4 linked regions of the Oreochromis niloticus genome follow. The protein of the gene in region 1 interacts with the protein of each later gene in a pairwise test. Links are inferred from orthologs where the notes say so. Each region holds a gene or a part of one and is shown on either strand. Other genes may lie near its edges.

Region 1 (7,194 bases):
CACTCAGCTCCCTCTTCACCACGACGGACCGGTGCAGCGTCCGCATCACTGCAGCCGCAGCACCAATCCGTCTGTTGATCTCCGGCTCCCTTCTCCCATCACTCGCGAACAAGACCCCGAGATACTTAAACTCCTCCACTTGGGGCAGGAACTCATCCCCGACCCGGAGTGGGCACTCCACCCATTCCTCCAGAATGGCACATCAATAATCCCTACCAGGATTTCTGTGTCTCCCAGCATAGTCTCAAGAGCATGGAAGACATTCCAGGACACAGGAATGTCTAAGACAGCTAGACATCCTTAGATCCTTAACCCATCAGCATGACGGTATCTGCTCCTTTATGCAAGGAGGAACAGGATGAGCACTCCAGAGCTACAAAATTATCTTTAGCAGGTCACTGGTGTGAATGTCTCTTAACAAAAAAATCAGAAACAGACTTCATTAGAGTGGCCTGAGGGCCTGATGTCCTCTAATGGCTCTGTGTTTTTCACAGATGAGAGCAGGTTCACCCTGAGTACATGTGACAGATGCGAAGGGGTTTGGAGAATGATACTGCCTGTAACATCATTTGGCATGACTGGTTTGGTGGTCAGTGAGTGATGGTCAGGGGAGCCATATCTTCACAGCCCTCTACAGGCTAGGCAACAGAACCCTGACTGCCATTAGATATCAGGAATAAATCACTGGACCCAGTGTCAGACCCTACACTGATACAGTGGGTCATGGATTCCGTCTGGTGCAACACAATGCCCGGCCTCATGGGGTGAGAGTATGCAGGCTGGAGGACGAAGGAATTTATACCACTTACTGACCCCTCCGCTCACCTAAATCCAACAGAGCACCTCACCCCAGAGCACTGCCACATCATTTTTTCACTTTTATTGTGGGAGTGTCTTTGAATTCAGCACTTTGTAGGTTGATCATTTTCATTTCCAACCAACACATTAACCGGTCTATATAGCTAGATATCCAGCATGATTTTTTGACTTCTGCTTTTGTTCTTCAAAATTAAAATCAAAAGAACCCTTCATTAGAAACTCTTTGTGCAGAGAGAGTCTGTTGCTCACCAACTCCCATCAGCTCTACAGCAAAGCAGGTCTTGCAGCTGGGCGAGCTTAGGACAGTCCTCCAGTCCAGGAAGTAGGATGAGACAAGCATTGTTTCACTTGAGGTGTCTGTTTTTATCAGCACAAAGTGCACTGGGTCACACACTGACAGCATGGAGGTCGCATCTGCCATCTTACCACTTTCCCCTGGAATACAAAAATTGTAAAATTATACTCTGTACATGGATGGTTTATTAAGCAATACAATGAGAACAGTATTTGTGATTGACACAAACAGTTGTGGTTAACACACACCTATACCGTCTCTGTGGATCTCTAACAGGAAGCCCTCCTTGAGGTCAGGTTCACAGGCACAGGGCACTGGCTTTGATCGAAACCTCTGGTTGCGGAAGTGCAGGTAGAGTGTGAAGGTAGAACACACCTGACCAGGTAAGGGCTCCGGCTCCTGGAGATGCTCCAAAAAGGCTTTCCCTCCAAGCACCTGGAGATACAGGCATCGCCTTGATGGGTCAATATTGGCTGAGAAGAGAAAAGTAGAAGAGGAATAACGTTAGGCAAAACAATCTGTGCATCATATTATTATTTGCTTGGTATGCAAATAATGTTTCTTACTTTTTTTCAGATGAGTGATATCTTTATCAACAAAATGAGTAGCAGGTTTTGTAGGTGATCCCGTTTCTGCTTCTGTGCCGGCTTCCTACCACGCCAAAATGACAAGACAGAACAGTCAGAAAAGATGGGACAGAACTGACACACTGTATTACAGATATTTTTAATCCATACTGAAGGCAAACTGTGAAAGTAAAACGTAGCTATCAAGGGGATTGATACATTGTAGATGTTTGATTGATGGATGGAATGAAAAATACTTCTATATTAAAAACCAATTAGCAATGCAGGTCTGAAATTGCATCAAAAAAGCTGGGAAACCTGTGTAAAGTGAAGATCTTTCATCATATCATCTATGATGCCTCTACGCTGCAGAGCACGCAGGAAATCTGCTTCAGACAGAGACCGACGTGCTGGGCCTTGATCATCCCTCACAGTCTCAGCCAGGACCTCTCGGATCTTCCCATGGATATCCATCTGACAAACAGAAAAACAAAATTCCTTCACCTACTTAAAAATTGTGTTTGTGCTTTCTAAACATCCTCTAAAAACAGTCCTTTCCCATTTAAACTCTGATTTTGGGAAGTGTGTGTGTATGTTTTATATCAGTAGACCTATAAGTACCGTCTATTCGGTGCATTATTGATGCGAAATCTTTTCTCATTCATTACTTTTTACAAATCAATTTTTCATTCAAATCAGCAACAAATGTAGGATCGAAATTGGTCTTGTTTGCTGTGTGAATTTGTACTTTATCTGCTTATAGACGCTTGGCTGGAAAACAGCACGGGTTCCCAACGGTGCTTTAAATAATGCTGTATAAAGAGATGGTGCAGCCAATCTTACCAACTAGGTGGTAATATGTGATTTCTCTGTGATGTGCAAATGCAAGGAAATAGGAATTTGTGACATTAAAAAAAATCTATTTGCCCACTATAAACAGCTAGCTTCCCCCCTTCATGAAAAATACCCGTGTAACCATGCTGCTTAAGGACTTCAGCATTCAACTGTACATTGTTTACAACACGAATAGCCATAAAATCTATGTAGTTTTCTCACCTTGAGCAGATGGTTGTGAATGATTTGCTTCAGCTCGGAAGCTTTTTCTGGAGGCAGCGACATTATTGCTATTATTTGTGCTTTTTAGGCTAAGCTAGCTAGCCAGGCTTATACATGGGTACTGGTAGAAACAATAAATAACGCCGTTGAGTTATAATGAAACTTTGTGTGCATTCGCCATTTTTCGCAGAAATGTTCTTTTCTGACAGCAACAACTGCCAGTTCAAACAGTGGCGGAAAAGCGAGCGGGAAGGTTTCTCCGCTGATGCCCGACACCATACTCCGGAAAAAAAATCAATACCTCGACAATTTTGCTCTAAAGTTACAGGATTTATAAGAATCACCATATAAACCACGATATACGTATTTTTGGTGGTGCATTTATTGTAGTTTTATTTCATTTTTGCTCACCAAATATTCCCCATTTTATTCAGGGATATTTTTACGTACCCCAATCGCGTCACGAATTGCGACGACATGTGAAAGACCCTTGAATTGTAGTTTAAATTATAGCCACTGTTTTTATGTTTATTTTTTATATGTGGAGGCGTTTTCATACTAAGGCAAGACATAAATGGATCAAATTACGCATATCCTGCCTATCGACAAAGGAATAAAAATTTAAACGTAACTTTCTAAGCTTTAATGACTCGTACGTATTATAAGTACTTATAATTATGCCAGTAGGGGGCAAGATTTGTGTCAAATATCAGTCAAGTGTTTTAAGAAAAAGACACTTATGGTGAATATGGTTGCATTATAACTGACCTATTGTTTAAATTCTGTTAATGAGTAGAGAGTGTCGTCATTCGGGGAGGGGCGGGGTTCAATGGATGAAGAATGGTGAGGAAAACAGATGTTACAAAGAGGTGGTGGGTCGGTAAAGTCTTAAGTTGTATGTGAGACCAAATACTAATGGATGAGAAAGGGACAGATTGGCTAGGCAGAGAGATCGAGCTGGAAAGCACGTGTAGCAGGTTAGAGTGATTCAGGACAGATATAGCTATGAAGTGAAGAAATGGAGTTGAGAAGACTGAAGGAGTACTTTGAGGAGCTGATGAATGAAGAAAATAAGAGAGAGAGGAGGATGGATGGAGGACAGTTAGTGAATCAGGAAGAGCCAAGGATTAGTAAGGAGGAAGGGAGGGCAGCTACAATGGGATCCAGAGTGGAAAGGCAGCTGGTCCAGACACCATACCTGTAGAGGTATGGAGATGTCTAGGAGAGAGGACAGTGGACTTTTTAACCAGATTGTTTAACACAACCGTGGAAAGTGAGAGATGCCTGAGGTATGGGGAAGAACAAAGGTAATGTGCAGAGCTGTAGTAACTACAGAGGGATAAAGCTGATGGGTCAGCCCATAAAGATATGTGAAAGAGTTGAAGCTAAATTAATATAGGTTATGATCATTGAGCATCAGTATGGCCTCATGCAGAGAAAGAACACTACAGATGTGATGTTATATTTAAGAGTAATCATTGAGAAGTATAGAGGTCAGAAGGTGCTTCACTGTGCCATTGTGGATCTAGAGAAAGCGCCAAGAGAGGAACTGTGGTACTTTATGAGGAAGTCAAGAGGCCCAGAGAAGTGTGCGAGTGTAGTGCAGGACATGTATGAGGCCAATGAGACAGTGGTGATGCATGCAGTAGGAGTTATAAACAATCAAGGATCTGCTCTGTGCCCTTTCTTGTTTTCAGAAGCAATGGGCGTATACTGACAGTTGAGGTCAGGCAGGACTATGATGTTTGCAGATGACACTGATCTGTAGTGTGATTGGGGAGTAGGTGGATGAGAGCCCATAGAGGTGGTGGTATGGACTGTAGAGGATTAAAGTCAGTAGAAGTAATACAAAATACAAGTGTGAATGAGAGGGAGACAGGTGATAAGACGACCGTACAATAATTAGAGAGAGTGAAGATAGAGTTTAAATACCTGGGGTCAACCATCCAAAAGCAGACAGTGCAGGGGAGAGGTGAGGAACAGAGTAGAGGCAGGGTAGAAGATAAATGTCAGGGGTGATTTGTGAAAGGACAGCAGAAACACTGAAAGGGAAGGTTTACATATCGTCTCTTTTGAGATGGTGGCACTGACAAAAAGGAAACTGAGCTAGAAGTGACCAAGCTAGAGCGGAAGATCTCCGAGGAGGTTCATGGGTGTAGGGAAGGAGGACATGCAGAGGATTGGTGTGACAGAGCAGGATGATGCTAGGGACAGTGTGAGATGGAGGGCAGATGATTCGCTGTGGCGACCTCTAAAAGGACCGGCTGAAAGAATTAGGAGGAGCTGTACGACATAACGACAAAGCAGAGATCGAGCCAGCATCAAACAGACAAGCTGAAATAAGTACAAAGGCACAAAATACATTCAACACAAAATACACACACAGTCCCAGACAAGAGAAAATGAAATTACTACAGCAGTCAATGTGAGCATGGCCTCTTCTTGAAATATTGAATCAATTCCTGGAATCCACAGTGAGAGGTCTCCAGTCTGTCTGCATTGATTTAGCTCATGGTCAGAATGAAATTATGAGTAACAGCACAGAAAGTGGGTGAGATGGGAAGAGCTGTGGGTAAAGCTGCTTTACGGATACAGAATTAAAGAACAGGCAAGCAAAGTTTGGTTTATAAAAAAAAAAAAAAAGAAAAAAAGAAAATTTTATTTTTTATGAAGTATTTAATGTTTTTGTTTGGTTTTGTCATTTTTCTCATCAAAACTCTTCTGTCATGTTCCACACTGCAGCTCAGTGTACAAAACTCCCCTGAAAACTGTACACAGAAAACAATAAATGAATGGAATGTTACACTTCTCTGGGGTTAAATAAGAAAATAACAATATTAATAATAATAAAATAAAAGCCATGTTCTACTGTAGCCAATCAAAAATTTCACTTCAGGAGTCAATACATGCTAATGACACATTCAATGTTCAATCAACTCAAACACATGTTACTGTACACCACCTCTAATCTGGTCATTGCAGTGCAAACATGTTACTCACATTATGTGCGACATGACAATTTTCTGTACTGATCACACACCAAAAAAAAAAAAAAATTCTGGGAGCGCACTTTTTTTTCCTCCTTTCCCTATTTAACACATTTCAAGGCACATTAAACGCTTTATCAACCAGCCCACAAGGACATCGCTCTCTTCTAAATTTAATCCAAGGTGCTCTCCTTCAGCTTCTAAATTGCACTATTGTAGCTTTGGATTGGTCCCAGTCAATTGAAAACCGAATCGGCGATCATGTGGGTTCAAAACACGGACAGGATGTAGAACGGTACTAGCATCATTTTGTAATACAGGTGTCAGTTATGACAGAGAGATTCAACAGAATATACATTCGACATGAGGGGAGTATACGAGGGTTCATCATTAGGAGCTTGTCTGACTGTTACCTTCCTAAAAACAGGCTTTGGTTTCTTAAAATAAACAAAAAAAAAAAAAAAAAAAAAAAAAAAAAAAAAAAAAAAGCGTGATCACCTGAACATACACAGACCAACCCATCCAGTGGGTAAATAACTTCCTAGGGGGCAACGTTTATGATCCATGTGGCAGCTAACAAATGCAGGCAAAAGAAAGAAAAAAAAAAAAAAGTGTGCACATAACAGAAAATGAACATTCTAGCAGAGTGTGAAACATTGGCAAGGAAGCTCCCTATGAAGTGTCCAGTCACACAAAAATATTCTTCTGGCCGTGTTGGGATGCCCTGCTAAATGTGAATGGAAGAACAAGTGGTGGTCTGGAAAACCACAGAACGCATGCATTTCATTATATTACATTAAAACTAAAGAAAAGTAAAACCCTACAGCTGACCTCTTGGCTCTGGAGTTTTCCTACAAGTCTACAGTAGGATGAACAAGTCAACACAAGTCATTCTGAAATGTAAAATGTAAAACGTGTTGATCGACACATATCTGACTATTACAAATAAAGAATGTAAAAATAAACCTGTCACTATATATTTTTCTTTGTACTGCACCTTTAGTAAGTTTCTGCAAAGCCATTTTTGCTATGATACAGTACATTCATGAGCAGTGACAAGAAGGAAAGGAAATTAAATCATCGTGCTGGCACCGAGATCCTGAGATGTTACTATTTTTTTGTTTCGATCTTACATGAAAAATATACAGACGCTCGTTTGATCTAGCGCTCCCACATTTTGACCTTGAGAAATAAATACCCTCAATTCTGCACATATTACTGTCTAAATCTATGTCGAGAAGAAGTACCTAATCCCAGGTACCGGTGCAAAATAGGAGTCAGTTTTAAATGACCCGCAGTGCTTCACTGGGAATACATCCAGTACAGCAGGCCTACAGCCAAGACAGCCCCGGCGCCGGCGCCGACGTTGAACAGGATGGGTCTCCAGTACTGCCACTTCTCCTGTTTCCTCTCAGACTCTGTCAGTCTCTGTTTCATTTGTTGGACCCTCTGTGCTGTGCTGGCAATCCTT
Region 2 (7,073 bases), on another chromosome or scaffold:
GGGCTATCTGACCTCAGGAATTCACATGACAAGGTGGGGCCAGGTTTCACAATGAGCTCACCCGAAACCCTGGCTGATTAGGTACCACACCCGCTTTCACACCTTGGCTCATGTGATTAGAGGATCACCAGGGGGTCCTTTGTCCCTCCTTGGGGGGATACTCCCACTGGGTTTAAATCTGGGACTCTCGGCCATTTGACCTTAGAACTGAAGAAGCTTCTCGGATGAGAGGTGAAACGTCTTCAAGCAACTCAAAGAAGTCCAGACGCTTTTCTTTGCAAATTCCTTTACGATGACCTGGATGACTGAGAACCTTCACAGACAAAATGAACAAAACAATGAAAAAGGCTCATGGTACTCAATTACTCTACGTTATCGTGTTTTACTTACACTTTTCAGTTGTAGTTGCTGACAATAAATAATATTGATTTGAATAATTAATGATTTTAGTACAAGATACTGATGAGTATAGATACCTATTTCTCAAATATTTTGATTCAATTTTAAACAAAAATATTAAGTACATGCAAAGAAGGTATTCCATGAACCACATACTGAATTTTTTGTCTGAGATAAATGTAAATAAATACCTTAATTTAACACAAACACATACGTTAACATTTTAGACGTTTATTTCAACTTATGAAACTCAAATAATTACTAAAAGGATATTCATAGATTTTATCAGGTTCATCTAACTTATATTTATAGTGATATTTACTAAGCCTCTGAATTAATTTTTAGAGTGTATGTGCAAAACTTATGAAAGTGTAATCAGGGAACTGGAGCTGGAGGGTAGCAGGACACAGGTGAAAATAATCATAGACAATAAGACAGGAGGCAGGAAGTCAAATTAAACACAAAACACTAAAGTCAAGCAACTATCAAATAAAACAGGGTTATACGGATACATGACAAAACTTAGGGGGAACTGACAGGAGGGTGAGTCAGGGAACAATGAGGGGAAAATGCAAACTGGAACTAACACATAAAAGCTCTGCATAAATAAAAATCAAGGAATAAACAGTTTAAAAAAAAATCCCTTATTTTAGATGTTCAATGTTTGATTCTCAAAGTCCAAGAAACCCAGGGACTGTGACATCTACAATATGCTCAGAAGTGAGCAGACTTCTCTCCACATTTGTCATCAAATTGAAGTCTACAATTACTTTACTCTCCTCATTCTTCTCACCACCCTCAGGGTAACCTCCATTATCTCCTCTCTCTCTTTTCACTTCCATCATCCTCTATCACATCTTCTTGTTACACAGACAGACCCTCTACAAGAAGGAAACACACAGGACTGTTATTAGCCTCGTAACCTGCTTATGGCTTCATCCTGTTTTCAATCTTTTGTGTGCTAAAACATCAGAGGTCAAACCAGGTCATCAGAACACATGTAGTCACACAGTATTTCAGTAATGCAGTGTGACTCAGTGGCTAAGAATACATTTAAATAACCTAAATGGTCTCTTTGAGACCCAAGACACAGCACAGCACTGTTTCAAGGTGGTAGGAAGGAGATAGGAACTTAAATATAACCACTTGCTACAACCAAGGTTTGCAGAAGAGCATCTATGAATGCACAACACATTGGACCTGGATGGACTATTGCAGCAGAAGACCACAAACTCATGTCAGCTAAGAACAGGTAATGGAGGATACAGTTTGCACGTTTTCATTGTAAAAAAAAAACAAAACAAAAAAACATTATCTGGTCTATGAACCATGATTTCTGGTGAAAAGTTCAGATGGTAGGATCACAAATGTTGTGTAAATGACATGAAAGCATGGATCCATTCTGCTGTGGATCAGTGGTTCAGTCTGCTGACTGTAGTGATGTAATCGTGTGTGGGGGGTTTTCTTGGTGCACTTTAGGCCCCTTAGCTCCAGCTGAGCATTATTTAAATACCACAGCCTCCCTGAATGTTTTTGATGACCATCCCTTCATGGCCACAGTGTACCCATCTTCTGATGACTGGTTCCAAAAGGATAATGCTCCACATTACAAAGTTTCAATTATATCAAACTGGCTTGTTGAACCTGGCAGTGAGGTCACTGTACTCAAATGGCCTCGCCTGTCACCAGTTCCCAGTCCAATAGAGCACCTCTGGGATGTGCTCAGTTCAATGTGGACCAACATCTCTGAGGAATGTTTCTGGACCTTTTTGAAACAAAGACACAAAGAATTAAGGCAAAATGAGGCTGCAGCACTACTAACAAGATATACAGACAGTGTGAGAGTAAAACTTAGGTAGCTGCTCTCACTTGTGTGGGAATATGTATATGGTTAAACCTATGATGGGTCTAATGAGGTTACAAATGTGCAAAAGAAGAAAACCCATGTTTCAATAATTTTGATTTTGATTTTTTTGTTGTTTTAGTGGAACACCATCTGTAATGAAAAGCACATGACTGTATCAACATAAGCTACCCTGTGTCTGCCTTCTGTTTTCCAGTCATGTGAAGAATCCTTTGCCTGCATGAAGCAGGATATTATACAGAAGGAGGAACTCCGACTATTTTCTACACACGTATAAGCTTTGAAAAAAAAAACTGTTGTGTTTTGTGTCTTTCAGAGGAAGATAAATCATTGCTGCTTTCTGCGCTCAGTCAAATATGTGTATATTTCATCTTCAAATCGAGACATTTGTAGTTTTTAAAACAAGGACATGCATCTCCCTTCGCAGTCTCTGTCTCCCTCTAGTGTCTACAAGTAATATGTGAACAAACGTCGAGCTGTGAGTTTGTTACATGCTTAGTACAACTGTGCAACTTATCAATTTTTTTCATTTTCTGAACTAAAGTGAGTGCTTTTAGCTGAAATTTTGATCAATGGAATTTTAGCGTTATGTTTTATTTACTCAACAAATACATCTCGATTTTCATATAAAATGTCAAAGTGACGGTGCAGAGGGATGCATTTTTCTTGTTATTTGACCAACTAAATCTGACTTCTAAAGTTGTTGCTTTTTTGTTTGTTTGGTTTTTTTTTAAAGAGAGAAGGATTTTAGGATTTTATTCATAGTCAAAATGTTACTCTGTAAAGTAACTTTAAAGGAATATTTTAGTCGTTTTCACTCACTGATAATAACCCTGCTAAGATTCCTTTTGCTGTATTCAGCTAAAAAAGTTCTTTATCTGTTTATACAATAAATTCCAAAGTTCCAGAATGCCAGTTTCACTTTCAATTAAATATAATTAAATAATTATTTCTAACATGTTTTTATGTCTTATGTAAAAAAAAGGACATGGCATTGTGTGAGAGATGCCCTTCTCCAAAGATGAATGTTGTAAAATGTAAAAACTACGCGATGCCTTGTCTTGGAAACAATAATTACGCATCAATAAGCCATTTAATAACGTCAGATGGGCTGTTTATACATTGTAAATTAATATGTCTACAACAACAAAACCTTGTAGACATTTATTATGATGGAATTCTTGGTCTGGGTCACCATGAAGGCATCGAGTTTGAAAGGGTTAAGTATCTGCATTTACCGGGCAGGTAGCCAGCAGCTGCAGCAGGTATATATTGGTTTTGGCCATAAGATGTCACTATAAAATTAAAACACTCACAAGATGTAGCCAGAGCAGGAACTACAGTTTATTTTTTGTACCCATATGAATTCTACATACGCAGGTAACACTTCATTCAACTATCATAAAATCTCTGTTACACTATTAGTTTTTACTGGGTACAGTATAACTGTTTAAATAGTTAATGCAAACGATTTTAATTTAGGGTTTTTAGAGATATGGTCATCATTACGTTATTAGAGTGAGAAAGTACAACTCTAAGTGCATCAGTGCTTCAGTTAACATGATGGCAAACACCCCCCCACACACACACACACACTTAAAATAGTTTTTTTTTTTTTTATGAATGACATTAAAAACAAAAAATGAGGCATTACTGTTCATTATTGTTCGAGCTATTTGGAGCATGGTTGCCACACCGTGCCAGGACAGAGTGGGCTAATGCTGGTGAGGTGGAAGCTGGCTCTTATTTTGAAGCCACAGAGTATTATAAATGCCACGCCTTTTATTTTGAAGTCCCGTATCTCCGGCTCTCCGGGTACGGGCAGGGAGAGAGAGTCGCAGGCAGAGGTAAGCCAGAGACGGTACGCTGTGGGGCTGTAGCTACGGTGTCAGCGGCAAGTATGAGAGGAGACAAGTTTACGAGCTGAAGCTGGCTGATTGACAGCCTCTGTCGCATTCTGTGGAGGGACCACTCATACCGGCGGACGTCAAGAAGTCGCGGTGTAGTCTGTGCGACTGAAACACCCCACAACTAAAACATTAAAAACAACTGGTGGACACACGGGGTTTGTGGATAGACATTGGCAGCGGCGGCAGGAGCAGGGAGAGAGTGTGAGTGCTTTGGCGGCGGTCCCGCTGCTAGAGAAACATGAACAAAAACCACCGAGTGCCGAGCAGCCGTTCTCTGAATGCAGTGGAGGTGAAGAGCAAGGTGGGTACGGACACTTATTTGTCAGGTATCCTTCCAGTGTTTGTACTCCCGACAACCTTCGTCCTCATTAAATCCACTCTTGCTAATTTAGCCTGCTAAAGTGGCTTGATAGCGGGTTATTATGAAGCAAGGCTTATAAACTTTAAGAGGAGCTAACGGTTTTTTTGTTTTGTTTTTCACTGTGACCACCCGGGTGTTTGGTTACAATTCTTAAAACTTTATTGGTAACCGTGGCGTAGTTTTTTGGTCGTTTTACGTCTAAAGGCTAGCTAGTTTGTGGCAAGGTGGAGGGTTTTTGTCAGCTGACTGCGCAGTGAGCCAGTGTCACCTGTCACAGCCTTCTCCGCCGTACTCTCCTACTCGTTTACCGAGTACTGACTTCAAGTTTGAGTCAACTCTTTAACTTAATTTAATCTGCGTGGAAAGTTTGCTCAAATTAACAAAAGTTTATGTCAAATTACGTCGGTTAAAGGTGTCAGTCGTTGCCTGTCGTGTTATTTGCCTGCGGTTACAGGTGTCACACGGCCTGCGTCAGGCTCGTGGCTCCATCCGCGCCCTGCTGAGGCATGACCACACATAAGTGTAATGAATAATGACTATATTGTTCTAGACGTTTTTGGACGCGTTGACACAAGCTGTCAAATATTTTCAGCTGCAACACTCATTTTTTGCCTTCCTCATACTTTACCTAGATTAGTTACTATAGCTATTATTATTATTTAATCAGCTATCCCGGGATTTTTAAGTTTTTTGACTCTTCTGAGTTAAGATTATCTTCCTTATGTCCCCAACCACTTATTAAATTAACTCTGCTTTGCATTGATGCATAAAATAACTGATTAAGCTGGGAGATCATCTTTTGTCAGTGCTGAGCAACAGTAACCACAACAGCCGGTACCTCTCACTAGCACTACCAATGAGGCATTGTGCTCTGTCTCAACTACAGAGCTGCCTAAAGATTAGGCATCTGCAGCCATTGATCCAGTCAGCCCACGGGCTTAAATGGGTAAACCAGCAACACGTTTGTGGTGATTGTACATATGCTGAAAGCACACTGTCTTTCTAATAGCTGCATGATAAATACGCTGTGTGGTAGCTTGATAAAAGCTTTAATCTGCAAGCCTAGAGATACACAAAACACGTGAATAATTTACCACACGTGGTGTGCTTTGGCTTACGCATCAGTACAAAGTAGGCTTATCAAGCACTGTTTCATACCCTGGTTTCGGCCATACGTCACACCTCTGTGTGTATTTGTGTGTTCATTTGCAATCACATGTGAACGCCTTTCTGCCCCATCCCAGTTTGGTGCAGAGTTTCGTCGGTTCTCTCTGGATCGGTCCAAGCCAGGCCGCTTCGACGAGTTCTACGGTCTCCTGCAGCATGTGCATCGCATCCCCAACGTGGAGCTGTTGGTGGGCTATGCTGACGTGCACGGTGACCTGCTGCCCATCAACAATGACGACAATTACCACAAGGCCATCTCCACAGCTAACCCTCTACTCAGGCTGTTCCTCCAGAGGAAAGGTATGCACAGAGGAAGTGTTTGGACAAAGAGTCCCAAGTTTTCATTTGTTTGCTTGGTTACATCTGCTTTGCATTGGAAATGCAAATACAGTCATTAGCATTGAAAAGCACAGCTTAGAAATATGTGATAGGCTATTGACTATAGCTGTGACAGAGTTATAAATACTTAAGTGTCACTTTACATTGTAAGTTTTTAGGCTACTTGTTGTATGTTGCCATGTTCAGCGAAACAAACTAAATGGTAAATGCTAAACCACTGGCCTCTATTTTTTTTCCTTATTGATTTCTAGTTAACTAAGCTAAGGTTAGGGGGCTTGTTGAGAGGAAGAATGCACTTGAAATGAGGAGTTCACTATAAGAGCTGAGCAAAACAACAAGAGTAGACTAATGGAGTTCACTTTGAGTTTGTCCAGTAGGCTGTTTTGTATTGCAGCTCGGTAGCTGCATGGGAGTTGTTTTTTTACGTGTCTGACTGTTTTGGAAATACGGGTTTCAAGTTTGACAGTGCTGCTGTCGAACAGTGTTTCTGTAAACACTGCTGCTGCAGTTTCTAACTTCCTTTGCTGGCTCTGGTGTAATCATTACCAATGTTCCTGCCATAATTGCTGTGCTTTTGCAGTTCCCCTTGTAGATAAGTTTTTAATCTTTAGCTAATAAAGGAATAAGTTGTGGCTGCTCTAAATTCATGCTCACAAGTATGGCTTACCTTTATTTCATGTGTATGATTACTGCAGGTCTTACTATACCAGCCTTGGTGTCTGATATTGGCATATTGCCAATTAACATGGCATTTACTGATGTCAGTGGTCAACATTAATATGTTCTGTCTTCAAGATTTCACACGAGCTGAGTGTTCAAAGATTGTGTTACAAAAAGCTGAAAGACTTTAAATGGGGTCAGTTGTTTCTTTCTTTTTTTTTTTTTGTTATCATGGAGTAAATGAGGTATAAGCACAACAAAAGGGAAAGAAGTAGATTTGGAAACAAAATGCTGCTGTTGGCCTATAATTTCACAATCAGTGTATCCATAGTGATTACATAAACATGTTTCTGTCAGAGTATACGTACAAAGG
Region 3 (7,565 bases), on another chromosome or scaffold:
TTCTATCAAACAGGCAAAAGACAAACATGTGAATGGGGAAAGATTGATAAAACATGCTTTTCCAGGATGGCAGATGGACGGATGGAAAAAATTAATAAATATCAAGCAAAGCATTACGGAGCATTACGTTATATTTAATGTGGACAGCAGGGAAAGCGATGAGCAGGGTTTTCAAACAATACACAGTTTCACAGTTTTTCTACTTTAGGATTTTCCTTGAGCTGATTAAATTAGCTGTATGGAAACTACCTCGTAGTTAGTAGAGTATGTACAAACCTTTTACAGAGTGTCTCTTCTCTAGTTGATGCAGGTCAGGAAGGATGTGGATGCAGTTGATGCAGCAGTAAGTGAAGAAATCCAGCAGCACCACTTTACCAGCCAGCTCCTTGTTTAAAGAGAGAGGCCCCTCCGTGTTCAGCCACTCTAAGCCTGGAGCAAATCACAGAGTGGAAAATGATGTTGTCATCTTTCTAATTATGTTTAGTCACGGTGTAGGCAAATGCTTTACATTACCATCCTAGAAGGGCTATGGATATAGTAACAAAACACCTAAAAGGCATATCTGTCTTGGGCCTGACACAGCGTTTGTGTCACATGGGAGAAAAAGTTGGATAGTTTGATGGATCAAAGCAGTGACTTGAAAGTTCTTGTGGCCCAAGTGTTATGTTAAATACCATAAAAAGGTTTTTTGTTGTAGATTTAGATCAGCTTGTTTCACACTTCTTTCATGTGCATTCTAAATTGTGTCTGATAGCATTTGTCACGCTTAACTCGTGCACATTTGATAAGTTTAATGTCACACTTTACAGCATGGTGAGTATCAAAATCCAGTACAGAGTGAAAGAATAATACCCCCACCTAAGTTTTCCATTGATAATCTGCTCAAGACTAAACCCTTCTTAACCTTTCAAAGAAATGTACGAAAGAGGAAGAACAAAACAAATCACATAGATTCATAATCATATCAGCCAATGGGGTACCTATGTAAAGATGTGTGCTTTTTTAGTGATGAATCTAGTTGCTCTTTCAGTGTTTAGCCCCAAAGGGTTTTTTTTGGCGAAACAAATCTCCACTTCATCCCCATTTTTAGATCTCTTAAGTGCACTTGCACACAGTGTTTTGCAAACAGCCGCATGACACCTTGTTCTTGTTGATGAGATAACTCTTTAGAACTCCAACAGTATGTTTGAATCGTTGCTGCAGAATGAATTTGGGACCGATCATATGCCTCGCTGTTGGTATGCGGCAGCAGATAAGAATCTAACCCCCCCCCCCAAAAAAAACCAAAAACTCACATGCATAAAAGATTAGCACAGTACGGAGCAGCTTAAAGGCTCCTTTTCTTCTTTATCTCTGACTGTGCAGAAGAGAGTCCAATTAGATAAATTTAGAACGAATTCTGAATTAAGAAAAAAAAAGAAGCACGGGTTGTGGGGACCTTGTTATTTTCAGATTGAGCCTTGTGTGACTCTAGTATTTGATGTTCTAACAGTAGATCACCACCTACTGGTGTGGTGAAATATTGTCAATATGCTGCATCCTTCAGCAGCAGACCTAAGTTTCCCACAACTAAACTTTAATTACATTACCAATTAATTGGAGGGCAATAAATACAATATTTAATTAAATGTATTTGTTTTATTTTTTGTTTAGAATAGAATAGAATAGGATTTGATTGTTTTTATATTCTTTTGCATATAAAAGACAAGTGGATGCTGATCCGACTATTAAAACCAAGGAACCCTGCATGTTCAGTGGCTAACAACTTATGCCCAACAACTTATCCACTTATGTAAACTAGGGCTAATTAGATTGCAGAACATTGACTCAATATGTGAGATGGTGGTAACACTCAAATAGATTTTTAGCTTTCTGACCATTCAAGTACAGAAAAGACCAGATGCACTCCTTCTTGTGGATCTAGAGAAAGCATACGACAGGGTGCCAAGACAGGAACTATGGTGCCACATGAGAAAGTCAAGAGTGACAGAGAAGTATGTGAGGGTGGCGCAGGGTATGTCTAAGGACTCTGTGCAGCAGTTGAGAGAGATTAAAGTTTCATCAGGGATTAGTTTAGAGCCCCTTCTTATTTACAGTGGTGATGGATAGTCCATGCCTGACCTCACCTGTTAAGCTATGATGCTTGCAGACTACTAATCTGTAAGGTGTCGAAATGGTGAAGGTGGATGAGTTTAAATACTTTGGGACAACCATCCAAAGCAGCGGACAGTGCACAAGAGTGGTAAAGAAGATAGGGTGGAGTGGGTGGAGACGAGTGACTCGGGTGATTTGTGACAGAAGGATAATAGCAAGAATGAAAAGGAAGGTTTACAAGATATTAGTGAGACCTACTGCGATGTACTGCATTGACAAATAGACATATTTTACATACTATTAAATTACATGAATGCCTGTAATTTTTCTTCCTCTTCCGGAGTAGATAAGGTAGCTAGCTAATTAATTGACAGACTATGAAGAACTTGTGTTTAAGGGTTACAAGGCGTGTGGTACTGTAACGTTAGCTTTTAAAAGGAAAGAGAGCTCTTCCTAAATAGACTGTGATTGTCCAGCATTCTTAATGTATATATGAATGAACATGCCGAGTGCTGTAGTGACGAGCAGAGTTGGCAAACTCAAGTCAAACTGCTACGAAAGAGAGGCAAAGTGTTTAAGCTAAAGCTGGTCTAACCTGTCTGGAAATCGGGTATCTTCAGGTCCTCTCTCTCGTCTAACTTTTTAAGATATTGTTGAACGAGATCTTCTTTTTCTTGCTGTGTTGTAGCGTCATCTAGATCGTTATCCAGCTGACTTTGGACAGGAAACAGTGTAGAGACGCTGCACCGGGACGCCATGTTTCCAGCAACAACAACCAGCTAGCTCGGTAAAGCAGCGAGGAGATTCATACCGCGGATTTCGACACAATAGCAAAAAATCTTATCGACTATAAGGGCTCTAAAAGAGTTTCAGTTTCAATTATCCGAATTAAATACCCTCTAAAATAGGCTTTTTATTTTTTTCAGCCTTCAAAACAAACAATTGGCTAATTTAATCGTTTAAAACGTGTCGAAAGTGTTGTTGTCCCTTTCTAGTTGTTTTTACTCCATTCATTGTAGCATAGTGGCGGTAAGTCCTGCTGCTGACATGTCAGTAAACGGTGTGTCAAGAAGGAAAATTTCTCCATGTAGTTGTTAAATAATGAGCTTCAACGGTTTATCAGTAACAAATATCCGCAGTGTATTATATAATATATAAGGAAGTTGTCAGTAGCCGTTAACTTGCTGTGATTAAAATAGTTATCGCGGAATGTTACCAAACACCAGTCCTTGTGTAATAACAATGGTTTCGAGGTAACGTCGGGCACGTTACGCTTTATTTTGCTCCAAATGTCACAGAAAGAAAATGAAAATGACATCTGGGACTATAAACCTCTTGGCAAGAAAAAGAAGAGGCATGAATCGCCGCCTAAAAACACTAAAAGAAAATGCACTTTCAGGAAATCCTCCAAGAAAGACGCATCTTCTCTCTCAATCAAGCCACAAGACAGGAACGCAAAAGCCAAAGCGGCAGAAAGTGGAGTCAGTGCTACAGCTGGAATAACAGACGACTGTAACTTAAGCTTAAATGCACGGGAGCTCAACTCAAAGAGATCTCCCACAAAAGAAACAAATCAAAGTGACAGTGCTGCAGCCGAGGGCCCATCCCCTGAAGACTTCTGCCCCATCTGTCAGATGCCATTCTTCATTTTGGTTGTGCAGTCCCAAAGATGGCACGTGGCTGAATGTATTGACACCCCCAGGGATACGTGCACAGGTACAGACATCCATACTCATCATACATCTTAAAGTTAGAGAGGCAGAAAGAAAATGGAAGCAGGTTGGAGACAAAGATAGAGAAGCAAGCCTGAGATGTTTGGTGCATAGTGGGATGGGGATAATTGATATAATGGACAAAGGATTCTGTCCAATGTATCCATTGCCAGGGAGAATGAAAAGTGCAAGACCACAGAGAAGATTAATGGATGTAGTCAAGGAGGACATGCAGAGTAGTGTGACAGAAGGGGAAGCTCGGGATAGGGATGGAGGTTGATCTCCTGTGGTGTCTCCCAAAAAGGAACAGCTGGAAGAAGATATGGCATACAGACATATCTATGATAATTCCCTTCATTTCCCATAATGCATTGTGATGGTATCCTTCATGCTTGTTGGATGGTAGAAGGGATTCCCATTCCTTATGACATGAAAGCTTCTACATAGCCTAACAGCTCAAAGGATTAAAAGAAATGTGCACTGACAGTGTAGCACTGATTTTATGCACTTAGCTCAGTTGTGTTTATCCTGAACAGCAGGATGATAAGATACGTTTATAGTATATATCATCCATTCAGTTTAGTTTAGAATAGCGTAGTTGGTAAAGTGATAAATATCATCCTCTTGTAACCCTGCTCTAACGAGTTCAGGCACTCTTTTTTATCTGTTCATACAGAATGTCCAGATGGTCTTCGGTGCTCCTCCACCATTCCAAACCATTACAAGAAATTCAACCACACACTTCTGGCCCACAGTCGAGCCAGCAGCGACACAGCCCTCCTCAGTCTGTCCCAACAGGCTGAGACCAGCCTGGATTGTTTTCCAGGACTGATCAAAAATCAGGGGTCTATTTTAGATTCTTCACAGCAAACCGCTCTAACTCCTTCTGCGTTATCCAGTCCTAGCTCCTCACCTCACCAAAGTCACACCGAAACACCTCAGTCAAAACTTACAAATGGCCTTCTGCTCCTGCGTTCTCCTGGACCAGAGGATTTTAAGAAAAAGAAAGGCTGGTCGTCATCTACTAAAAGCCAAAACTCTGTCACTGCTTCTCAAGAAAGTAATAAAGAGGACTTATCCATCCCTGTCAAGGAAAACAGTGGACAGCAGGCTAGTGAAGATTTACACAAAAGTGAGGATTCTTTGGAAAATGATGACATGATATCCTACTCTCCTCTTTCTGAGTTCCCTGCAGAGACTGAAATCAATACTACAGAATGTAGAAAATCTCTTTTTAATGACAGTGCAATTCAAAATGAGCATGAAGACTCGATGACGCTGTTCAGTGACAGCTTCTCCGGTGAAGATGAGCTCCTCACTGACTTTATAAACAGCAATTCAGGAGCCAGCAATGTGCAAGGAAAGAATCTGCCTTCTACAAACACCCAGCTGGGTGCAGTTTCCTCATTAGCACCCACTAATCAGTTAGCTGTTGAGACCAGAGCTGCTTCCTCAGGTGGCAAAGAAGCTTCTGAAATCAATAAGACTAGTATTCAGTCTCCACAGAGTATTGTCTTAGAGCGCCTGAGAGACACTCTTCTGAGCTCAGATAACTCACACTCCCAAAACTCAAACAGCATTATTCAAACAGAGCAACCAGCTTCTCTTCAAGTGCCTTCATCTCAAACCTCCATTGTCCAAAGATCTCAAGCCATGCCCCCTCAGAAGGGCCACAGCAAAGCCGGTCAAGTCTCGGGTCTCAAACAAACTGACATCGGGGTGTTTTTTGGCCTCAAACCGCTGAGGGAAAAGGAGAAAGAAGCAGAGAGTGGACCAAATGACCTCAACGCTTCGTCTACTCCAACGGCTGGGAAGAGCTCGGGACAGAGACGGCAAAGAAGAGAGCGGCAGAGAAAAAATAAAGCTGACACACCTGCAGATACGCCACAGGCCACAGAAACCATTAACCCATCAGTAGATGGACAGGGAGAAGTCTGGGGGAGGGGTGGGGCCACAGGGAGGAGGAGGTGGAGGAACAGAGTCAATGCTGATGGAGAAGCACAGCTGCCCCGTTGCCCTTTCTATAAGAAAATCCCAGGTTAGTAAGCAAATGTACATTTCTTCTTGCTGTGTAAATTTAAAGATTAATTATTATTTAATTTGTAATCTTTTGCAAAAAACTTTCCCCAGGCACAAAGTTTGCCATTGATGCCTTTAGATATGGACAGATCGAGGGCATCACAGCCTACTTCCTTACTCACTTCCACTCAGACCACTACGGAGGCTTGACCAAGACTTCCACTGTTCCCATCTACTGCAACAGAGTAAGTCAATCTGTAGTTTTGATGAAATAATTTACTTAGTTTTGTTTTTATTTGGTACCGGATCACCTAGTGCCAGGGACAGTTCACCCTTAAATCACATTTGTCTGTGAGGTACCCAGCTATGAAGATATTGGATGAAGAGATGTCTGCCTTCTCATGAATACATTCTTGCTTATGTTGTGCAGGATTTAGATGATTGGGGTTGCACAATCTGCGTTTTGAAATCAGAATCAAGTACTCCACTATGATTTATTATATGCATTTATTTGCATAAGACAATTGCTGTTTCTCTATGATACAAAACAGTCAGGGTGATGGATTTTATCCCTGCTTTGAGTCCACAGTTGAAACTATATCCAACACAATGTCAGCAAAAGGCTGACATTTTGTCAGTTTCTGTATTTCTCCTTCAGTGGTATGGAAGCGATTCACTTATTTGAAAATGATTCCCCCCCCCCCCCCCCCCCCCCCACACACACACACCCCTCTCTGCCGCCAGAAATCCTATTTACTTTCAACTCATTAAAAAGCTTCCTCACTTCCACAGAACTCATAGAGGAAGCACTTGATCCATTTGTTATCTCTCTGCACTGCTTTGACTCACATTAATGGAAAAAGCGGCTTGCGTTTGGCAGCTATGAATACCAATATTCAAATGGCTCTGATCACAGTTGAGTCAATTAAAATTCGAAGACCTTTGTGGGATCTTTTTTTCTTCTTTTGGACACAGTAATACAACATTTGATGTGCAGTAAAATAAGTTTATCTGGGGCCCAGTTGTTTGCCATCCCCTTTGTTGTTACTGTGAAAAAGCTACATCAGTGAAGGTGTGTTAAATGTAAAGAATTATCTAAATAAACTGACTTTTGCAGTTAAATAAGTGTAAAATCTTTAGCTCAGACTTTATTGCCTATTTTTGGTTCAAATAGCTACGACTTAACAATATATAATGTCAGGTATGATATGAGGTATGAACTTGAAATAATATAAAAGTCAAGAGACTAGAGATGTTGGGAGTTCTGCTATCAAGTGGGTCAGGTTTATCACAGTAGTGTGTGTGTTTTCTGGGGATTAGGCTAAAAACAGACTTATAAGTACTTATTGGGACTCCGTTTGCTAGGCCACAGACTTTGAGCGTGGGCGCCAGGTGGATCACAGCCCAGAAAAGTTTGATCATAATCACAGAGGGTAATTAGAAAGTAGATTGTGTAAATAAGATTTCAAGGCCAGGGTTTGGGAGGCGGGGGGTGGGGTGAATTACTCTGCAGACAGTTACATGAATATCTGAGATTGTTTGAAACCTGATCATCACTGTAAACTGCAAAGATTTGTTCACTCTCAGCTGTGTCTCCTGATTAGATTACAGGGAACCTGGTGAAGAGCAAACTGAGGGTGGCCGAGCAGTACGTCCACATCCTCCCAATGAATACTGAAGTCACTGTGGAGGGGGTCCGGGTCATCCTCCTAGACGCTAACCAGTGAGTCATCTGTGACA
Region 4 (6,873 bases), on another chromosome or scaffold:
CCAATGAAGAGCTGTAGGAACTCTGGATGGCATTTCTCCTGGTGCCCGGGGTTCCTCTTGGGGCATGAGCTCCACTGCCAGAGCTGATTGAGGATGTCCGAGACCTCTTCATAATGGACTCCTCAGTCACTGAGGTCATCCCTCTTTTCAGACTTCCCGGCCTGGGAAAGGGAAAGTATTTCTCTTAATGCACAGGTAGCACCACAGTATACTTCACCCTGTACCACAGGTTTTCATAAGACATGATCTAACAGCATGACTAGTAGAAAAGTTTAACTTACTTCGGAACCAGCTGTGACGGCGTACCATTGGGCAAAAGGGGTTCAAAAGCAGAGTGTGCACTTCCACCGCTGTCATTACGTCTTAGGAAGTAAAAAATTAAAACAAATAAAATGGAAAAAAAACAACAACCATTTATTATTTTTGAAATATAGAGAAATAGAGAAAATAGAGATAGAGAAAACCTATGTAAAATGTGCTGTGTTAAGTTTTAGTGATATTTCCAATTTTCTTGCCATCCTTCAGTAACTCAAAACTGCATTTGAGCTCCGGTAATGTATTTATAGAAGACTTTAAGTCCACATTTGTATCTTGTATTAGCATGTGATCTGTATCTATTCAAATTATTGGGGAAAAAAAAGGGAAGCAATGAATACAGCATTATAATGCAGCTGTTATATGCATTCACAAGAATGCAAGGCCTTATGTGGGAGTGTATACTTTGTTGGAACATTACATTAGAAGAGTGAGCTTTACAAGTGCACCACAAATGGACTGGGAAATGGTGTTAATAGGAAAAAGCTATTCATCCATTCTGTTTGCAGCTGTCCGTAAAGCTAAGAGACAGAGACAACTGAAAGCATCAACAGGCAGTTTTTCTGTAGCCTTGCTAATAACCACACTATGTATTACCTACAGACCAAGAAGGTTTAAACAAAACACATGATACTTTTTGTGTCTTAGGTTTGCTGTGTGAGTACAGTAAGTTCTTTTTTTCCAGTCTATTTTTTAAATTTATTTCAGTTTAAATGTTTTTATACCTACTTTTAGTTTACTATAATAACCTTACAGCTATCAGACAAAACAAAGTGTTGCCAAACTACATAAAAAGGCAAATATAAAGCTTGTCAGCATTCATGTGCTGCCTCGTACCTTCTTTTGCTTTTCTGCTCAGTTGTAAAGCTCCTGTCCTCGTCCTCCACTTCTCTCTTGCGGCTTTCCTTCAGCACCTTGAGGACACTCTCTCTGGAGCACGGATCGGCAGGTGCTCTGGGGAGAACGGCATAACTCAAATGGTCCATGCTGAAAAAAAATAAAGCAATCAAACACAAAAGTCAGAGCTGCCGACAACACACAAATCAGGGATTTACTAAGCGTTGGATAAAAAGAAAGGTAAACAGCCATTGCAAAAGTTGTATCAAAAGGGTTTTGACATTAATCTCTTAAAACAGGTTATGTTAGAGTTTAAAGAGATCTGATTCAAGCTGATGATCTAAACTGAAACACTGTAATGCATAGATCATGCAGAGACCTGGGGGAGCTGTGGTCAGGCCTGGCGATCTTCACTGTGACAGGACTGAGGGCAGCCGGGGAATTGCGAGGGCTGAGGATGTTTTTCTTTCTGAAACCGTCCCATTTGACGGGAGGAAGGATTCCCACTGACGAGACACCCGGCTGCTGCAGGGGGTAGTGGCGCTGGGGTGTGATGGTGAACCTGCTCGCTGCTCCCAGTGTCTCCCTGCAGGACAGAACAATTAGAGGCCAAGGCAAAATGAAGGGTCTTAAAGTCTGTTTTTCGTCTGTGTTTTTGTAATCCCACAAATGGCCATAATAGATTTTTATGGGAAAACCCAAACATATAATACTCACTAATATTACAGAAAACGTGAACTGTTGTTCCTGTCTCTAATATTTCATGTCAGATACCATTTGTCAGTCTCTATAATGGTTGGGGCGATAGCGGAAATAAATCCCATTATTAGGTAAAAGTCTAATGCTTTGTTTTGCTTTCTAAATACATTATTACATTGCCAATACAGCAAACCTGCTAAATATGCTTTTCAGCTCCAAAGTAATTTATATGGCCGACAATTCAAGTTTTCTATCATAACTGTTCACAGATTGGAAATGCCGGTACTATATTAGTAGTAAATTACTGTAATGGGAAACTTTTGCACATGACTTAACCTGTACACATATATACGTATAAGGTTGCAGTAACGTGTAGCACATTTGGATAGCTGTGTGGAGCTACAGAGATCGCTCTGACGGCTCAAAGGTTAGTCATTAAAAACCGCCAAGCTGCACCTTTAGCCTTTTGAATTCCAACAACTTAACCGCCTCCATTCAAAAAGAACGGGCTGTATTACGCCGGTAAAACCGTGATGTGATTGATTTGATTTTAGCCTGAACATACCCAGCAAATGAAAGCCTTCTGTTTGGAGTATAGACGGCATGGTTGGGTCTGGCTAGCTTTTCCCGGAGCTGCTCTCGGGGATTTCTCACGGCTCTCCGCCTCCCCGAGTCGGCGGTTGGGCTCTCCGGTTTCCCGATGTAACTCCCCATGAGAAAATCCCGGGGGCTGAAAAGAAAAGACTCGCTTGATAAGGATTCCTTTCGATAAACGCCGCTTTCAGCGAGTCTTTGTCTTAAGTGTCCTTCTGATTCCCGGAGCTCGGCTCTGTTGCTGTCGCTGCTCTTCGCTCTCCCCCGTGCGGGTACCGAGACGCCGGTCGCCTCCCAGCTCCACAGCCAGCGCCGCACTACGGCCGGAACGTTTAGCCCACCCCGAGGATTCGGGCCTAACCTGGCGGGAAGCGGTTCTCCGCTATGATAATAACAGGCAATACAACAAACTGCAAGAATTAAGGTCACATAAAGAAAAGTAGGAATATAATAAAAAGCGAGAGTAACTAGGCCTAGAGCAGAGAGAAGCAATAAATGTTTTTCTCTAGGAGACATGGCGGCAACGCGCCGCCGGAGGACTCTCATATCCCATCATGCTGTTCTTCCGACATTACTTCTTGGATTTATATTTGTATTCACGCGCATTAGCGCCATCTACCGAGGTGGGGCTGTTAAACGCCGCCAGTGTTACTGCTCATTAAATTAATCTTCCTTTTGCTGAACCTAGGACAAATGTAATGTAAACTGTTGTGTAAAACATATGTATGATTATTATTTTTATTTTTTTGCATATTCGTCACACTTAAATGTTTCAGATCATCAATTCAATTTTAATATTAGACAAAGATAACTGGAGTAAACACAGCATGCAGTTTGTGAAGGGGATCCTGATAATAGTTTGGGACTGGTCAGGGATGAGTCTTTCCAGGGTCTGACGTGGGAAGTCAGTGCCACAGGCCTGTAATCCTGGGGGCCGCTGTGACGTCTTCCACACTGGGACCCTCTGCGGGCTCAGATTCACCATGAACAGTTAATGAAAGACTCCACAAAGCTGGGGGCACAGGCCTTGAGGACAAGGGGACTCACCCTGTTTGGTCCAGCAGACTTGCCTGAGTGGAGTCTTCTCTGTTCTCTTTGAACCTGGTCATGAGTGAAAGCGCTAGGTGTGGGAGGGGTGTCAGGATTTTCATAAGATTTTATGGTGCAATATGGAGAGAGAAGGAGAGAGAGTGGCGTGGCTGTGGATTGCAGGTTAACTACAGGTAGGTCAGTAGGGGGGTGAGCATTTACTGCAGTGTCGAATCTGTTAAAAACGAATTCAACTCATTGGATCTGCCCTCATTCAGATGCTGAGTCTGTAACCGGGCTTTGGCAGAGTGGATAATGTCAAATGCAGCAGTGGGGTTAGAAGAGAGGGGAACATAAACAGCCACCAAGATTACATGGGTAAATTCCCTGGGAAAATAATCCGGCCTGAGTCCAACAGCGCATAGTTCAAAAATCACCAAACAACAGTGGACCTTTAAATTTAGATTTGCCATACTACTCTTCTATTTACCTAGACAAGACCACAGACAAGTGTTTTTAGCAGAATGTTAATTTTTATTTTGTGATATTATTTAAACATGTTTTTTCTTGGAAGGAGTACGATGAGGACTTTGGGATGGAGATAATGAGAGTGAGAGCAGGATATATGAAGGAATGTTGGTGAATCATTAGTAAAGAGGAACTGAGGGCAGCTATGAAGAAGATGAAAGTGGAAAACCAGATGGTCCAGATGACAACCTGTGGAGGTATGGAGATGTCTAGTAGAGCGAGCAATGGACTTTTTGACCAGACTGTTTAACAGAGAATGCCTGGATGAGGTCAGATACCTGGGGTTAACCATCCAAACCAATGGACAGGGCACAAGAAAGGTGAAAAAGAGAGTGCATGCAAGGTAGAATAGGTGGAGGCTGTTGTTAGGGGTGATTTGTGACAGAAGGATAGCAGCGGGAGTAAAGGGTAAGATTTACAAGATGGTAGTGAGACCTGCTATGATATATGGCTTGGAGCTGGTATCACTGAGAAAAAGATAGGAGGCTGAACTGGAAGAGAAACAGCTAAAGATGTTAAGATTTTCATTGGGAGTGAGCAGAATGACAGGATTAGAAATGAGAATATCAGGGGGGCTAAGCAGTTTGGAGACAAAGTTAGAGGCAAGTCTGAGATGGTTTGGAAAAATGCAGAAGAAGGGACAGTGGATATATTGGACAAAGGATACTGAAAATGAGGAAGAGCACAGAGAAAATTCATGCATAGGGACTGGTGTGACAGAAAAGGAGGCTATGGATAGGGTGAGATGGAGGATGCACTGTGGTGCCCCCTAAAAGGAACATCTGAAAGACGAAGAACAAAAAAAGAGGATAAAATGTTTTTCTTGATTTGAAATAAATCAAACACCATATTATGTCAAAACATACAACAAGGAAAACAACAGAAATTATGGCCTCCCTGAGATTTATATTCATGAATATGATTGTCATTACTTCAGAGAATGTCACAGTTGGTGTACAAAAAGAGGTATGAAAGTCAATTTAACTCTCTGAGTCTGATCAAATCACTACCCTTTCAGCTTGTTCGTGGCCAAAAGTGGCCACCTACAGATTAGGTCTGTAATTTTTATTATTTTTGGTTTTTTGCCATTTTTTCTGCATAAAGCTTTTAAGTAACTTCAGTTCTTTCCATAAATATAAAATAATTATTACTTTTTTATTTTTTAACCCTTTAAACACCAGTTTGTTTGTCCACTGCACCAGCTGGATGACAACCTCAAATCTCGCAATTTTATATAATTGCATTGCTACTGAAATTTCTTGTATAGAGTCTGGGGCATATAATTGATTCACATCAACACTGATTATAATGCATTGTTATTTTAGTGCAGAGAGAGCAAAAACATAAAAACTCCCTCTCAGACTGTTCGTGGCCAAAAATGGCCACCCCTTGTTTACATTTACAAAATGCTATAAAATTCATATATATTAAGAAAAATGTCCAGTTTTTTTTACATGATTTTTTAGATTAGCATCAGGGCTGTTCATGAAAATCACAATTTCATTAAAATTCTGAAATTTAACCCTTTAAATACTAGTTAGAGCACATAATCATAACAACTCATAAATAGAGAAAATCATAAAATCCCAGTTTTTTTTCTAAATAATACATGCCATCTGATTTATTTGCTAACCATGATGAAGGTTAGATGCATAGCAATAATTAACAGCATCAATGACATTTATGCAACATTGTTTTTTTCTGCAGTGGCAGAAAAACAAAAAAACTCCCTCTCAGACTGTTCGTGGCCAAAAATGGCCACCCCTTGTTTACATTTACAAAATGCTATAAAATTCATTTATATTAAAACATTTTTCTACTTAGACCAACTTCATTTTTAAATGAAAACCAGTCCTAGTCATGAAAACCAAAATATAATTCAAAATTAGAAATTATACCCTTTGAATACCAGTCAAATTATATGTTACTACTATGTTTTTGGGGGGGAAATAGCAATAAAGTTCAAATTTTTTCAGCAGTTGAATGACGAAACCTTTTCTTTTTTTTTTAAATCATTGCAGGTCAGTGCCAGTAACAAAAATAATAATTATTAATATTAATATTTTGTATTATTCCTGTGAGTAATGACCCCAATAAAAGAAACTCCCACCTTGTTAGTCATGCCAAAAACGGCCTTTTATTGCTTGTTTGTACAAAATACATCCTCTTTCTGTGTGTGTGTGTGTGTGTGTGTGTGTGTGTGTGTGTGTGTGTGTGTGTGTGCGCGCACTCAGGGAAGGCAGGACACGCAAACCACAGCAGAGTGATCTTTGCAGACACTCTTTCCACAGCTGGAGCAAGTGGTTGCCGTTCTTCTTCTGTTTATACACAGTTCGCACCTTTTCCTCATTTTGTTGATGGGCTGTGGGTCATACTCTGATTCTGATTCTGACTGCTGTATCTCAGCAACAATAGCAGCGGCTGCTTTTGAGCGTGGGGCACAAGGCCGTCTTGCAATTTCTGGAGTCACCAGCATGTGGCCCAGCTCCTCCAGGAACACCCTTCGTTGGTGGGTCTTGGTGGACTCCCACTCAGGATGCACTGCTTTCCACAGGACAAAGGCACTGTATGCTGAGACGTCCAGAAGATTGTAGAACAGAGCCAGTGGCCAGTGACTGGTTTTCCTCCGACAACTGTAGGTGCCAACAACCTTGTCTAGGTTATCCACTCCACCTTTACACCTATTGTAATCAAGGATTGCTGCTGGCTTCTTCTTTTCCCCATCACTGACTGCTGGTTCCCTATGCTTTGTGCTCAAAAGAAGCACATTCTTCCCTCGCTTGGGCATGTAGGAGACTGCCATGGTTGTTTTGGTGAAGGCAAAGAGAGATGAAAGAATCTTCCTCTGTCTCAGCTGAACAAGCTGGGGAG

The links.
Region 2: the proteins of cep76 (region 1) and pard6b interact in binary tests that used the Homo sapiens proteins (3 or more experiments, as listed by UniProt). The two-hybrid records come from large-scale screens. The link is inferred for Oreochromis niloticus from reciprocal best matches to the Homo sapiens genes CEP76 and PARD6B.
Region 3: the proteins of cep76 (region 1) and nhlrc2 interact in binary tests that used the Homo sapiens proteins (3 or more experiments, as listed by UniProt). The two-hybrid records come from large-scale screens. The link is inferred for Oreochromis niloticus from reciprocal best matches to the Homo sapiens genes CEP76 and NHLRC2.
Region 4: the proteins of cep76 (region 1) and pom121 interact in binary tests that used the Homo sapiens proteins (3 or more experiments, as listed by UniProt). The two-hybrid records come from large-scale screens. The link is inferred for Oreochromis niloticus from reciprocal best matches to the Homo sapiens genes CEP76 and POM121.

What each region holds. Positions count from the first base shown.
Region 1 is NC_031976.2:5,547,202-5,554,395, reverse strand, and holds the start of cep76 (centrosomal protein of 76 kDa), read right to left. Parts: upstream 3,003-7,194; 5' UTR 2,800-3,002; coding exon 2,737-2,799; intron 2,155-2,736; coding exon 1,999-2,154; intron 1,766-1,998; coding exon 1,681-1,765; intron 1,588-1,680; coding exon 1,363-1,587; intron 1,255-1,362; coding exon 1,069-1,254; intron 1-1,068. Other genes in the region: ptpn2a (tyrosine-protein phosphatase non-receptor type 2a), read right to left, coding at 7,026-7,194. UniProt on the Homo sapiens protein: Centrosomal protein involved in regulation of centriole duplication. Required to limit centriole duplication to once per cell cycle by preventing centriole reduplication.
Region 2 is NC_031984.2:31,749,908-31,756,980, forward strand, and holds the start of pard6b (partitioning defective 6 homolog beta), read left to right. Parts: upstream 1-4,052; 5' UTR 4,053-4,411; coding exon 4,412-4,474; intron 4,475-5,778; coding exon 5,779-6,001; intron 6,002-7,073. UniProt on the Homo sapiens protein: Adapter protein involved in asymmetrical cell division and cell polarization processes. Probably involved in formation of epithelial tight junctions.
Region 3 is NC_031973.2:14,310,545-14,318,109, reverse strand, and holds the start of nhlrc2 (NHL repeat-containing protein 2), read right to left. Parts: upstream 3,011-7,565; 5' UTR 2,853-3,010; coding exon 2,690-2,852; intron 430-2,689; coding exon 277-429; intron 1-276. Other genes in the region: dclre1a (DNA cross-link repair 1A protein), read left to right, coding at 3,384-3,810, 4,483-5,844, 5,937-6,070, 7,430-7,548. UniProt on the Homo sapiens protein: Required for normal embryonic development.
Region 4 is NC_031975.2:24,313,449-24,320,321, forward strand, and holds the start of pom121 (nuclear envelope pore membrane protein POM 121), read right to left. Parts: upstream 3,027-6,873; 5' UTR 2,992-3,026; coding exon 2,417-2,991; intron 1,739-2,416; coding exon 1,532-1,738; intron 1,303-1,531; coding exon 1,153-1,302; intron 363-1,152; coding exon 282-362; intron 162-281; coding exon 1-161. UniProt on the Homo sapiens protein: Essential component of the nuclear pore complex (NPC). The repeat-containing domain may be involved in anchoring components of the pore complex to the pore membrane. When overexpressed in cells induces the formation of cytoplasmic annulate lamellae (AL).